Linked DNA regions of Caenorhabditis elegans. The protein of the gene in region 1 purifies or fractionates together with the protein of each later gene. This does not show direct contact. Each region holds a gene or a part of one and is shown on either strand. Other genes may lie near its edges.

Region 1 (3,922 bases):
CAAATGTTTTTATGCAATTCTTCACAGTTTTCATTAACATTTTACATTTGATAGTTCTATTTCAAAAAGAGCTACGAACCGGTGCAATTTATATTTTGATGATCGGAATTTGTTTGGCAGATATTATCGGTTATTTACTTGATTTTTTCAACGTTGCCTACGAAAGAACGTGGATTAGCACAATTCCGTTTTACACCAACGTTTATTGCTTACGTTATGATTTGGTTCGAGTTAGTTTTGTAGATTTTGTCAGTATATTTGTGCAAATGGCACGACCAGTTGCGGTTTGGCTGGCAATGATGATGGCGTTGATCAGAACTTTGTCTGTATTTTTTCCCATGAGCATTTGGATTCAGAAGCTTGCGAAAGCAAAAACTGCAATTTTCATGAGTGTAGTAGTGTTCACATTCTGGATACTGTGGTATTCATCCCAATATTTTACTATGACATTACGCTGGTACCCAGATGTCTTGAGTAAGGCGTGAGTTGGCTTTCGAACTTGCACATCTGAAAGTTCATTCATTTCAGTTGCACTGATTACGAAGAACATCGCAACTTGACCCACTACGTTCTGGTAGTTCCAAAAGCTAGCTTCAGCCTAGTCTTTAAGCGTGAAAAACTGGAACCTTTCATTCGCTTTATTCCAGCCATCTTATATCCAATCTTAACAATCACATTACTAGTTCAACTGAGAATTATAAAGAAAAAACGAGAAAGTATGAATAAGAACTTGTTGAATGATCGATCAGATAATACAACAAAGCTCATTCTTTTTATGACTTTATTCTTTATGATATCGGAGGGCTTGGAAGGTATCGGAGATTATATCCTTCAAAAAATTCTAGCTACCCCTAACTATCAAGATTCAATGGTCGACGTAATGTAAGTTTTATATATATTCTTGTGTAATTATCTGCAAAACAGTCCGCATGGGATTGCTGGAAATTTTTTGCTGAAAATGACGTCATGCGTCGTAGCTGAAACTTTTTCAGATCAGCGCTTGGAGTGGCTCAATATTTTTATACAAATCTCCGCACATTAAATGGAATATCTCATGCATTCATATGTTTTGCAATGTCCTCGCAGTATAGGGACACAGTGAAGAGAATGCTCTGTTCCTCGAAAAAGCAGCGACGAGGACAGGTAGATTAAAGATAAATATTTCGATTTAGAAAAAAACTTCTTTTATTTCAGAATATACTGGTCATCTCAACAGTGTCGGTTAGCAGCTCACACAATTCCAGTAGATCAAGGACATGAACGATTTTAATTTTTGCTATATAATACTATGTATTTCTTAGTTTTTTAATTGTTTCAAATTTCTTACAGAAATAACACGTTTATACTCGGTATACTTGGCATTTTTGAAATTATTTTGTCAGTTCGACCGATTTACAGTAGTCTGTTTTGTATCGTAAAAAATTCATTAGAGTTATCGGAACCTAGACTGGTTCAAAAAGCTATTTCGAATCTCACAAGAATGGGTATTTCGAATTACGAGTAATTTGTGATTATGCTTTTAAAAAAGTAGCCGTCATGTGGAATTTTTTTAAAACCCTTGCCCATTGACACTTTACCGTCGCAAAAAAATGCTAGGATGCCTCAAAGCAACTGACATTATTAGTACTAGAAACTTCTTGGCGCAGGAAAAACTACCTAATAGCATCGGGAAAACTGAAATTGCTTTGAATGTTACCCACTTTTTCACGTTGCCAATAAATACGTGATTACTCAACTCCAAATAAAAGTTCAAGGACAAGAAAGCAATTTGGAATTCACGCCAACAATTAATCCTAGACAGCATGTTATTAAGCATTGAGCTTTTAATGGTCATATCCCGAGTTACACTTTTGCATAACATTTTTTTTCAAATTTCCATATCTTGAAGTCAGTCCTTTAACTTTGACTACCTTTTTTGCTTCGATTTGAATACAATGTACTATGATGAAGAATTTTATTCTGAAGATTGTGAATTTACAAACCTTTATGACAATTTTCACTGTGCTGATATATATAAGAAAATAAGCATGGTACTTTCTGATATTAACATTTGCCTGCAGTTCTTTACTGTACTCATCAACATTTTACATTTAATTGTTTTGCTTCAAAAAGAGCTGCGATCTGGTGCAATTTATATATTGATGATTGGAATTTCTGTGGCTGATATCCTTGGTTACTCACTTGATTTTTACAATGTCGGCTTTGAAAGAATGTGGTTTGAATCAATTCCTTTTTATAAGAATACTAATTGCTTACGAGGTGACTTTGTGCAAGTCACCTCCGTTAATATTCTCAACATATTCGTGCAAATGGCACGGCCCACGGCGGTTTGGCTAGCGATGATGATGGCGTTAATAAGAACACTGTCAGTATTTTTTCCGATGAGCAATTGGATCCAGAAGCTTGCAAAAGCTAAGACTGCAATTTTAATAGTATTAATTATGTTTACATTTTGGATACTTTATTATTCGTCACCGTACTTCGAGATGGAATTTCGATGGTATCCGGATATTTTGATTAAGTCGTGAGTTGGATTGATTTGTTTTGTTTGAAAATAGTTCCAGCCATAATTTAATGATATAACAACGGTCGGTCCTTTCCAAGAAGTGGGCAACTCATACCTCCTTGTTTAGTCCTTGTCCTTTTCTTTTTTAGGAGGTATATGAGATTGTAGTAAAATTTTTTTGTTTATTTATTTAATTGATAAATTTATCAAAAGTAGCATTTTTCTTTTCAGTTGCTATAATTACAAAGAACACCTCAATCACACCTACTACGTATTGGTAGTTTCTAGAGCAAAAGACAGAAATATGGATAAGTTTAATAAAATAGATCTCATCTTTCGGTTCGCTTCAGTTATTTTATACCCAACTCTAACTATCACTCTACTTTTGCAATTGAGAACAATCAAGAAAAAAAGACAGAATATGAATAAAAACGCGTTGAATGACCAATCGTATAAAACAAACAAGATGATTCTCATGATGACTATATTTTTCATGACTTCCGAGGGTCTTCCTGTCATTGGATCATATATTCTTGAAAACTTCATCTTGTCTAAACTAATTTACGAAGAGTCGATGACTGATATTGTGTTAGTTTTGTTGAAAATTTATATCGGTAGCCTAATTTATTTCCAGATCACTACTTGGACTTTCACAATATGTTTTCTGGAATCTTCGTACAATGAATGGAATTTCTCATGCTTTCGTATGTTTTGCAATGTCCTCACAGTATAGAGAAACTGTGAAGAAAATGTTATGTATCACGAAAAAGCAAGATAGAGGACAAGTGGGTCTCAAACAGAATACCATATTTTTCAACAATTTTTATTCAGAATATATTGGTTATTTCGACTGCGTCTGTTAGCTCGCAGAGTTCAAAAAGGACAAGGATGAAAAATATTTAAACGTTTTTGCTAGAGTTCTATTTTGAAATATAAACTTTAAGATACTTACCTATTAGTTTTATTATACCATTTTTCTTACCTCGAATCTAGATGAATGAAATAAACTAGCTCTGAATTTCTTGATTTTGTGGCTTGAAAAAACTTGGCCTTCAGTATTTCAGAAAAATGGCGAGAAATTCGAAAGTTCAACTTACAAATTTGTTGACGCGGATTTCCAATGAAATGTTGCTATAGAAAATCTGAACGCCCAAAACCCTTTTAGCCAGTTCAGGAAGTTCTGCCTATGCCCCGGGTATAAGGTATTTGGTTTTTGAATCAATTTTTTTGCAAAATTCGGATAACACTCCATCTGTTTTTTTGTCTCACAATAAAATTGTTGATGGTCTTTGGAACTTGGCTGCTAAGCAACAACAGATTTGGCCATGATATTTGTTTATTCTTGTTTCACACCCACTCTCCTTCTTTGCTGAAAAATTAATAAATGTTTCGTTTTATAGCTCAGAAGAGTTAAAT
Region 2 (6,391 bases), on another chromosome or scaffold:
CAAAATATACAAAAAAGTTCAATGAACTGATTGCCAGCAAACGTAGATCATAGGATATTGTTTGAAGCTCGAAGGGAAGATTTTCAAAATGTTGCTGAAAATAATTATATTATTTTCACAAATTATCTTGTTTGATATTCTTACCGGATAAAGCCTCATGTGTAAGTATAAAATCTCATAAACACTCAAATAAACTCCAATAAAACATGCTTGACGAATCATTTCATTTTCTCGTTTTACGTGTGACAAAGATATTGACGAGGCAGTGCTCTTCCAGCGATTTCTCAGATATTTTTGATAAATTAGAATTCCAGAATTGACTACCATTGACACAATTGGAACATAAATAAGAAAGTTATTTTGAAATAAAGTGATTGGATGACGAGACGGAGCACATGCTGATTCGTGGTAACTGGTCAAAGCATTGAAGTTTAATGAGCAATTTGAAAAATATGGAATCAGAAGCCAAATGGTAATGAGAATCTGCAACTCTTTCAGGGTATTATAGGTTTCAAAATACTGTAGCCTACCGTAACCCCAGTGCAATACACAACAACCTTCGTGTCGCTGAACCATTTTGATGATTTAATCGGTGATATGAAAATAGACATCCTATGGAAAGTCATTATCCAATCCAAAAATAATGGAGCTAAATAACAAATGGTGAATAGCAGAGATACTTCTGTTCCAACAGCATGACGATACTCTGAAAATTGACTGTGGAGCTTATGATTTCAAAACTGTTTCAGAATTCAGATCAAGCATCTTGCCAACTCACTCTGATATCCACCATTAGGCTCGATCCATTCAGAAATAGGCCAGGCGTCTACCATTAGAAAGTCTATCAATTTTTCCGAAATTCCAAAAATTGTCATAAAAATAATATAGATAAAGGGTCCAGATTGGGAAGACATTTTCAGTTTTAAAACTGAAAATAGCAGAAAGAAGTCAAATATTAAAAATAATAAATTGAGAATTGAAAATACCAGCTGAGCTAGATTAACTATCCAATATATCATTTTGCGGGGTTTGAAAAATAGAAATAATATCACAAATCAAAATATTCAAACTGTGAGGTGATCAGTCGAGCAAATGCTTCTGCTCGAGTGCATGACAAATTTGCTTTAGAACTCAACACTGACGAGAAAAAGTAGAACTTTGTTTTTCCGCGCACATTTTCCTGAGAATCTTGGAGAAAATGTAAAATAGTGACACATTCTTACGTGGGAATATCAACAAGCAGTATACTTTATTTTAAGAAGCAGAGTAAAAAACTGATCTTACGGACAAAGATTGAAATATTCGTTCTAGATTTTTGATAAAAAATATGTCAGCAATCTCTTTCACTTTTTCGCATTCGGGATAAGTTTTCGATGTGTAAATCAGGAGCCTCACATCATTGGCATCACAATGTGCACTGTAAATTTTAGATTCTCCGAGAAAAGTGTCATTCTGAAAATTGGACTTTTTCTCAAAATCATACAAATTTTGCAGGTAAACAACTCAAAAAAAAGTAAAGTAGGAAAATGAAAACTCAGCTCACAATCAGAATACAAATAAAAAGTTAAGCCTACTCTTTGACAATAAAATGAAAAAAATCGAAAAAATTGGACATTACGTGAAGACAGTTGCGAACAAGAAGAATTTTTTGGAAAAAAATCGCTTGTTGCTCTTATTTTAGTCCTAGTGATAAACAAAACATTTCATTGATTATTTTCGATTTTCTAGTGAAGTGATTTCTCCGGTAATGCAAGGTGAGCAAAGTTTGTTCATAAAATCATGCATGTTTCATTTGATTTCAGATGAATAAAGCTATTAGTATACTCTTTGCAATTACCTTAATTTTTTGTTTCAATCGACTGTTAGCGTTCTCAACATCCACCGAAGAAACCACATTTGAAAGTGATAGTGAGTTGAATTTTCTATTTTCATTTCACTTTTATCAATTAAACATTTTAGTAAAATCGCCAAATCTCGAAAACTTCATGAATGATGTTTCCACCTTGATTAATCTAACGAAAGCAATATCAAGTCAAGCACGTCTTTTCCATGATTTCGATCTGGAAACTTCTACATTTTTCAAAGCAACGCCACTTGATCTACAAGCATTTCTTGCTCTTCAACCGAATGAAACGATGGCAGCATTCACAAAGTTTTACAATGAAATTCGAAAGGTAACAGTCCCGTCGAACGTTACAGAATTGAAGACAGTAGTGAACCACTTAGTTATGCTATCTTCGTTGGAATCATATTTTCACCGAAAAAAATTTTCCCCGAAAAAAAAGTTCAGTCGTATATTCGGAGATTTGAAAAGTTGAAAAGTAAGATGCCAAATCCACCTGATCTAAAACCACCCGAATTTAAATATTTTGATGATATCGAATATTGTCTATCGAATGACATTGATAGAACAAAATTATCATTTTGCTTTGCTCTTTTCTCCGACGGAAAGATTGAAGAATTATTCAAAAAAGACATGGATCAGCTCAGCAAAAGTCTCGAATACAAAAATGTCGTCAAAAAGTTTAACGAAAGGCACTCTGATATAAGTATATTAGATGACATTATTGACGCTGTTCAAGAATTTACCGTAAATGGTGAATTTGTAAAATCTTCTGCTTCGTTATTGAGAACAATCAGTCAAAATCTTGTCAAAGTTAGGAAGGCTTTGAAAAAGAACAGCAAAGGTGTTGGTGATGGTATGAAGAGGACATTATTTGGCGAAAAAGTTAACCTCTATGAATCAAAAATTAAAGAAGTTGCTGGAATGTTGAGAGTATTCAATTCCAAGTGGCTGAAACATGTACTTGGGGATGAGAACACAAAGACCCTTTATGATGGACTCGAACCTATCAGAAATCATTTGAAAACAATGAAAAAAGTGAAGAAGATAGTTTTAAAACATCCGGATAGCTTAAGAGCAGCTTTATTGATGTCAGTAAAAATCAGTGATCTGGAAAAGTGGAACGATTTCGAAATATCGAGTACTATCATAGACGTTGTGGAGACTTGCGTTGTTAATTTGCCCACATTCACGAAATCTTTTGATTATGAAAAATTTAAAAATATATTCATTCATATGGATAATCTTGCCACTGAACTACATAAATACATTCGAAGAGTACGAAAAATAATAAAGCAGAAAGATAAAACCTTGGATGAACTGAAGAATATACGAGTAAAAGTTAAGGAAATCATGAAGTCCGATTCTGGAAATTGGCGTCAAATACAATCCAATTTATATAACAAAATAAGTCCAAATGATACCAAGTCTATCAAGAGAATGTCCGAAAATGTCACGCAATTGATAAGTGATTACGATGGAAGTGAATTTGTTAAGAGTATCATCAACGCTCCGTCTCTTGATTATTTGAATGATGTTTTATTAGAAGTTAATGTGACAAAAGCTTTTACCATTGGAAAATGTTTGAGAACTGGAAACTTTAAATTAGGAAAAATAAACAATAATCTGTTTAACCTTCTTAATTTTGAATCATTCAAATCTCCTGAAACAGAATCTGCATCAAAAATGGTTGGATCTTATATGGATGACCTTTCTAAAATTCTGAAGGCGCTGAACTCTGCTAGAGACAATACATTGAAGAAGTTAAGTGATGAGATCAAGTATTTGAATAGGTTCAATCAATCCGAAGAAATCAATAAACCTTTACTTATTGGAAAAGAAGCAATAGAGGAACTGCATATTAACCAGAAAGAGATGAATCTCCTACGAAGTATGTTAAGTTCAACTTCTCATTTCAATGGCAACTTCTGGAAAGTATGGGAGTCTCAAGGCAAAAAGAAATTAAACGAGACTATTGAAAAAATGAGCAATTTGAATTATTTGATGGGAAATCGCGTGAATAATGACATTTCAAGTGTTGCGATTGTATTTGACGAAGCTGCGACTTTTCATGGATTGGTTGGAGTTTTCAAAAATTTCGATGAATTCAAAGAAAACGTGAAACATTTAAAAGGAAGTCAGAAGATAATCGAACAAATGGAAGGAATTAAAGCTCTTCGTTTGGATTTCACTTATTACCACAAAGAACTCAAAGCTGCTTCAGAGAGTGTCACATTTCTTAACAAATTTCTTGATGAGCTTTTTGAAATGGGCAGGCATGAAACAATTTGGATACAAAATTCAATTCCATGGTACTTCATTGTTCTCATCATATTTGGATCACTTGTTCTTTTCATCATTCTCTTGATTATCTTGTATTCAATAACTCCAAATGGAAGAAGGAAGTTGAAACGATTTTATTTGAATCGATTTGCATCAGAAGCAGTTACAAATTTGCACTGGAGATATTCAGTGAGTTATTATTCAATTTTCAGTTCAAATAAAATTAATTTCAGTTCTGGATTGATCAAGAAGCTGATAAAAATGCATTATGTGAAGCTGTTAGAGAAATTAATTTCGATCAAGTGAAGGTATTGGTAGATAAGGGAGTGTTCATTAATGTGTACAACAGTAAGAAGATAATCAATCAATTTTTATTTAATTTGATGTAATTCCAGTGTTTGGAAATACTCTTCTTCATGCTGCTGCGAAATATGGACACGTTAAGATTGCTGATTTTCTCATTCGGAATGGTGCTGATAGAGGAGCTTTTAATGTTGAGAATAAGACACCAGAACAAGTATTGGCTGAAAGTGTGCAGGTAAGCTAGATTTTATATATTTAAGCTGTAGTTTCTTGCATTGCTCTACTTTGACGGCTCATATATCGGTTGTCGTTGGTTTCATCAAAAATGTGTAACATTGAAGCAAAAATTTGCCATTTGATAGTTTTTCATTAAGCCAAAGAGAACTGAAATTTAAATTGTCAAAGTGGAGCAAGGGGGTCAGTATTATTTTGAAATACGTTAAATGTTACATTTCCAGACAACAACCAAATTTCTAACATTGACTAGTCCTACCAGTGGAAGTGAAGGAGTAACAAAGAGTAAACTGACAGAAATGGGAAATCTGACGGATATTGAGAAGATTTTTGAGAAGCACAGAGGAAAAGTGTTTAGACAGAGTGAGTTTATCCATCCTTCAATTAATGTAATTTGGGAGTATTTATTTCAGAACTCCCAGAGCTACTTCCAACTATGTCGTATCGTATTCGTATTGATGCTCAATTGACTGGTATTACTTACGAATCATTCATTGAAAGGTACAAAGGAAATGTGAGTTTATGTTCGTTTTGAGTTATCAGTTAAACCCAAAATTTAAAGGTGACTGATCAAATGTCGGGTGTAACTCATTTCATTGTATTAACTGATGCTACTGGTCTTTTTGAATCAGATGATTTTGGTTACATAATGTGCATTTTCTTGCCAACATTAATCATGAAACAGCAGTGGATGAATGACTGTTTGAAAAAGAAATCAAACTTCCGAAATGATTATAAATATCGTGTGGAAAGAGTGAAATACAAGGGAGTCGTGTATGAAACAGTTTTGAAATGGGCCGAATGGATTCACAAACAAAAAATTCCTTTCTTGTTTGGAGTACATTTCCATGTGGCAATCGAGAAGATGTCTGAAAATGAGAAGATGCATTTGAAACAGTTGGTTGAAATGCACGGAGCCACATGGATGGATCAGATGCCAAACAAAGCGAATTTCAATGCAGGATCCCACCCATTCCACCATTTCCATCTCGGACCACTTTTCATTATCCACGAAAAGAAGGTATGTTGCGTAATATTTAACTTGACAAATAATTAATTCCCAGTGCATTTGCTTTCTAAATTCGATAAGAATTCGATTTTTAAGTTATTTTTTCCAGAATAACATGGAAACATATAAAAACGTGACGGTGATGTACCAAAAGCCGAAATTTATTTCAAATGGTAGTTCAATTATTCCTCATCCAAAACGGTAGTCACTGGAATAGGAACCTTTCGCTCTGGATCATAGAAGCATTCCAACTTCAACATGAAAATAATGAATTGATCATACGTCATCAGAGTGTACATCTTGTCGTTTTTATATGTTTCCATGTTATTCTGGAAAAAATAACTTAAAAATCGAATTCTTATCGAATTTAGAAAGCAAATGCACTGGGAATTAATTATTTGTCAAGTTAAATATTACGCAACATACCTTCTTTTCGTGGATAATGAAAAGTGGTCCGAGATGGAAATGGTGGAATGGGTGGGATCCTGCATTGAAATTCGCTTTGTTTGGCATCTGATCCATCCATGTGGCTCCGTGCATTTCAACCAACTGTTTCAAATGCATCTTCTCATTTTCAGACATCTTCTCGATTGCCACATGGAAATGTACTCCAAACAAGAAAGGAATTTTTTGTTTGTGAATCCATTCGGCCCATTTCAAAACTGTTTCATACACGACTCCCTTGTATTTCACTCTTTCCACACGATATTTATAATCAT
Region 3 (4,462 bases), on another chromosome or scaffold:
AAAATATGAAGCTTGAAATTCAATAGAGTTGACAACAACTGCATCGAGGAATATCTGTTCATTTCTCATATTTCGAATGTAGATTTTGCGTTTCTGCGCGGTACCGACAGAACTGAAAAAAAATGCATACTTGGAAGGTTTTTTAAATTAATCAAAATTTTTGTTATCATACTTAAAATGGCCCCAAAATGTCGAATTTCATAACGAGACATTCCAAAAATTGCATTTTTTCAAAGTCTCGTTATGAAGTTCGATCTTTTGAGTATAATTAAAAATTATTCACTTTTGCCCAAAATCCATCATTGGTGGATCCATCTCCATTGGAAGTTTCCCTTTTCCAGACAATTTCAACACGTTGAATGTTTTCGTCGCATGGTTCTTGTTGGCTTCTTTCGGACAATTTCCTTCACAAACTCCTTTAATTGAATCATAAACTGGCAATTGATGCACATTTTCGGGTCGAATAGGATGATTGAGATAGTGAAGCTCTTCACCGATTTGAACAAATGCGGTATGAAGAACTGGAATCTCGTGAAGCTGGGATGCGGACACTTCTTCTGGAAGAGGCCATGCCTGAAATTGATTTTTTAATGTGAATTTCTGAGGCTAAACCATACCTGCTGATCTGCAAAAGTTGAAGTGATTAAAAGAGAAATTAGGAAGAAATATATCGTCCGATATCTGTTTGAAGTTTTGTGTATTGATGGAACCATTTGAGCATTTGGTAAATTGAGAGTTTCTCTGAAAAAACGAATAAATTTTTTTCTATAGGTTTTCTGAGTAAGATAATTAAAAAGCACAATAAAACGGAAATCAGTTTTTATTGCTTATTTTTTGCTTATTTGCTTATGCAACATGGATGATACGTGGAATTGAACGGCACTAAGAGATTTCTCCAGGGAAATAAAAAAGTGAGAGACAACGGCAAAGGCGACGTCGACTTCAATTGGGAAGGATAACTGGGAGAAGAGATAGTGTTTGATTTGGAGAGACCCAGTATTCGGCATCTTGGGAAGAAGAAGATACAGTCGTCGTGAGACGCAGAACAAATAGGATCGATCGATTTTTGAGGGAAAATAGAGATGTTGAACACGTCATCACACCATTATAAGAGAAAGAAGAACGAAGAAATCTGGTTTGGAAAAGTGAAGAGAGAAAAAAGAAAAAGGGCTTTTTTCGGTGAAAAATGAGTGGAATCAAGTGAATAAAACAAAGACAAAGTGATAACCATCTGTCATCTAGGTCAAGGCAGTCAGGAAAAAAGTCTATAGCTGTCAACCGCAGGCTAGTTTTATTACCTCGGGTATGAATATTAATGAAGCATTAAAATATTGAGCGCTTGGATTTACATAGAATTTAGAAAATCAGAAAACAGTCTTTATTTAGCAGAACAATTGTGGAAATTATGGACACATTTTTTTTGTAATCAGAAAATGATTTTCTTCGGCTATTGTTGTTAACAAACACGCGAAAAATAGAATATTTGACAGAGTATACTATAAATATCAAAAATATGTCTTAAATAATTCCGAATATGCAAATTTCTGCGCGAAAACGTTCAAAACTGACGATTAAAAACCAGAAAAACTACAGAAACAAATTACAGTTATTTCAGCCGTGTGGAGAATCCTCGGCCACGGCCACCAGAACAATATCTCCTGACTGCAGTGACTGGTTTTCCGATGTTTACACTGCTGGAAGTTACTTCATTGTTCTTTTGCAAACAATTTCGCTTGGAAAATATTGATTTAATTTAACTTGAACGTAAATTGACTTTTAAATTGATTAATGAGTAGTTTTATAGAGGGTTTTGGTTACTGTAGCTTTAAAGGCGCATGCTTGAAAAGTTTTAATGAAGGAAACTCTTCCATAATTTGCAAACATTTTCACTTTTGTTTTTTAAGCCGTTTTCTGCTGAATTCGTCTTTTTATTATGAAATTAAAATTGTATTAATTTCAGAAATGATTTCATTCGAGGATTTTCTCCTCCGACCATCCAAAGTCGTCGATCCATTCAACAGATTCGTCGCAAAAATTGATCCATTTCTGACTCTTGTCGAATTTTGCCAAGTTATCGGACCAAAACCACTAGCGGTAGTTTCTCAGCGGCCAGATGATAAAAGTAAATATTTATACACAATTTTCTCGAATAAATGCTAATTTTCAGTCCGCGGAGTTGACATAAACGATATGGCAATCTGGTTGATGTCGTCTGATACTGTTCCGGGTACAATGATTGTGTTGGAAAACAATCAAACGGGTGTATATGCGGCCGCATATTATTTTAATTTGTACGACATGAGAGCAAGAGCTTTTCAAAGAAATTTATGCATCGCCTATTTATGTTCGGAGAAGCCAACAAAAGAAACTTTGAACCTATTCTCATCAGCTATGAAAAAATTAGTTTCACCAGTTTTGATTTGCAATCGACGTCTGTTTATTCGCCATGTCACTGATATTGTCAAGTTTTCGGACAGTGTTGGTAAGTTTTTTTTCTTCGATTTTTTAAACAAATTGTTACCATTTTCAGATGAAACCACCCTGAAACAGTACTATACACTGAATGGAGATTCACAAAAGTTGTCAGACGGAAGCAGATTCAATGTAGTTTTCGAGCAAACCAGGCTTCTAAAAAGCAAATTTTTGACGAAAAGATTTCAAGAAATGGCTTTTGATGGTGAACAAAACGTTGAGACTTTGATTTAGAATTATATTTCAGATGACATTTGCTGTGGTCACAATGCAGAAAACATGAACGAAGCTGAAGATATTATTTGCTCATTCCGAGTTCCATCAATTCCATTGAGTCCTGTGGAAACTCTCACTCCATGTGTAAGATTTTAAAACCTTTGTTGCCTATAAAAATTAAATTATACAGGCGTATTCATCCATAATTCCAAAACTACGCCAACTATGCTCCGAACTATGTTCATCAGGAAGCCCTAATAGAAATTCTACTCATGGAGCTCTTTTCTGTGGACACCGTCCCATCGCAACTACATCACCAGCCGCCACTACAACTTTGCCTTGGAACACTGATTCAGGAAAATCTGATAATGATAAAAACGGAGAAGAAACTCTAAAAGAAGTAACTGGACACCTGGGAGATGTCATATTTCCATTGCTTTGTGGAGAAGATTTGGTAGTTTGTGGAGCAGAACAGAGAAAGAGTACTGTAGAAGATATGCTCGGGAAATTGAGCAGAGTTGTTCCAAGAGAAAGTGCTCGGAATGTAGAAGAAAATATCAAAATCGAAAAGGATCCAAATAGGTAAATAATCAGAAAACATTCAATTCTAAAATTTGGTAATTTTTCAGAATAGGCAATGGATTGGGCGGTCTGCTATGTAATAGAAATGAGACCGGAAAATTGGCAAGATGGAGAAATGTTCTTGATATGAATAGGTAATAAAAATTCAAAAAAAAAAAAATATCGGTTTCAGAAGTGCTCTCAAGACGTTTACCTACGATGGATCATTGCTAGCTGGTCTCAATAAGAAAAGAAAGTGAGTAACATTTATGGACTTATTTCCTTATCTTGTCAAACAATTAAGTGCAAATAAGGGGATAAGTTCAGTTAAGATATACACTCTCCTAACAATAAACGCCTTTCAGGTTCCCATCTGATCGTTCCCTGGTCCTTTTTATAATTGCCTATTTGACAAATATTTGTCAGCTTGCATTCATCTGTCGATATATGTTCATCAAATCTCCGAACTCTATCGAAAAAGCATTGGGAGATCAGCAGAAACTGAGCTCAGACGACGAAAGAATATTGATCAACTTGCTGATGGGAATCGACTTCGAAAAATTCAACCAACTCAAAGTATCATCCAAAGACGGGGCAAAGCCGAGTAGAACCATCAATTTGTGATTTAAAAATTTGAATATTTATGAAACAATAAAAAAAATCAAATTCAGTCTGATACAATACAAGCTGTCATTGAAACAAAACATAATTATAGATGATATGAACAGTAATTAGAAGAAGGAAAATTTTAAAAATAAGGACGACAGAGCATTGATTTACGACAATGCATTCGGAGAACTTTCATCTTTTGATGATATCCTGTTTCATTTGGTTGATTTCAGCCCAAAAGTCTGCCTTGTCACGATTTCTAGCCAATTCAGCCGCCTTCTTGAACTCTTCAAAAGACTGCTTCAGAATGGCGAGCTCTTGACGCAAATTAGTGTTTTCCGCCACGAGATGAGCGATTTCTTTTTCATGTTGTTCTAAAACTCGGTCATCTTCTTCGTCTGGCTCTGTCATTGATCGTTTTGACTTTTTATAATGAGCCTTTGGTTCAGTTGGCCAGTGACAGATGATTTCTGGTTTATCAATGTCCGGGATTCTCACTTTGCACACCTGGAAATGTAATTTTGATTAACGAACGCTTTTGTTAATAAGAAATCTCACCATATATTCTGAATTATTGCATTTCACGTACATGTTCGAAAGAACA

The links. Proteins that work in one complex are often made in the same cells at the same time.
Region 2: the proteins of srw-16 (region 1) and F56D5.9 fractionate together in Caenorhabditis elegans (co-fractionation; one large-scale study listed by BioGRID). This does not show direct contact.
Region 3: the proteins of srw-16 (region 1) and smcr-8 fractionate together in Caenorhabditis elegans (co-fractionation; one large-scale study listed by BioGRID). This does not show direct contact.

The regions. Positions count from the first base shown.
Region 1 is NC_003283.11:15,272,870-15,276,791, reverse strand, and holds srw-16 (G-protein coupled receptors family 1 profile domain-containing protein), read left to right. Parts: upstream 1-1,934; coding exon 1,935-2,524; intron 2,525-2,737; coding exon 2,738-3,094; intron 3,095-3,140; coding exon 3,141-3,291; intron 3,292-3,337; coding exon 3,338-3,409; downstream 3,410-3,922. Other genes in the region: srw-17 (G-protein coupled receptors family 1 profile domain-containing protein), read left to right, coding at 1-481, 529-882, 993-1,143, 1,195-1,260.
Region 2 is NC_003282.8:9,417,918-9,424,308, reverse strand, and holds F56D5.9 (BRCT domain-containing protein), read left to right. Parts: upstream 1-1,800; 5' UTR 1,801-1,802; coding exon 1,803-1,908; intron 1,909-1,959; coding exon 1,960-2,174; intron 2,175-2,290; coding exon 2,291-4,315; intron 4,316-4,359; coding exon 4,360-4,474; intron 4,475-4,521; coding exon 4,522-4,664; intron 4,665-4,887; coding exon 4,888-5,026; intron 5,027-5,076; coding exon 5,077-5,177; intron 5,178-5,225; coding exon 5,226-5,684; intron 5,685-5,781; coding exon 5,782-5,877; downstream 5,878-6,391. Other genes in the region: srxa-2 (G_PROTEIN_RECEP_F1_2 domain-containing protein), read right to left, coding at 1-94, 145-483, 531-706, 779-914.
Region 3 is NC_003281.10:4,997,421-5,001,882, forward strand, and holds smcr-8 (Guanine nucleotide exchange protein smcr-8), read left to right. Parts: upstream 1-1,954; 5' UTR 1,955-1,962; coding exon 1,963-2,122; intron 2,123-2,167; coding exon 2,168-2,482; intron 2,483-2,530; coding exon 2,531-2,677; intron 2,678-2,719; coding exon 2,720-2,832; intron 2,833-2,878; coding exon 2,879-3,270; intron 3,271-3,317; coding exon 3,318-3,404; intron 3,405-3,442; coding exon 3,443-3,505; intron 3,506-3,614; coding exon 3,615-3,873; 3' UTR 3,874-3,948; downstream 3,949-4,462. Other genes in the region: tmem-131 (Transmembrane protein 131 homolog), read right to left, coding at 1-112, 284-573, 618-713; R144.10 (Coiled-coil domain-containing protein 25), read right to left, coding at 4,051-4,365, 4,417-4,462.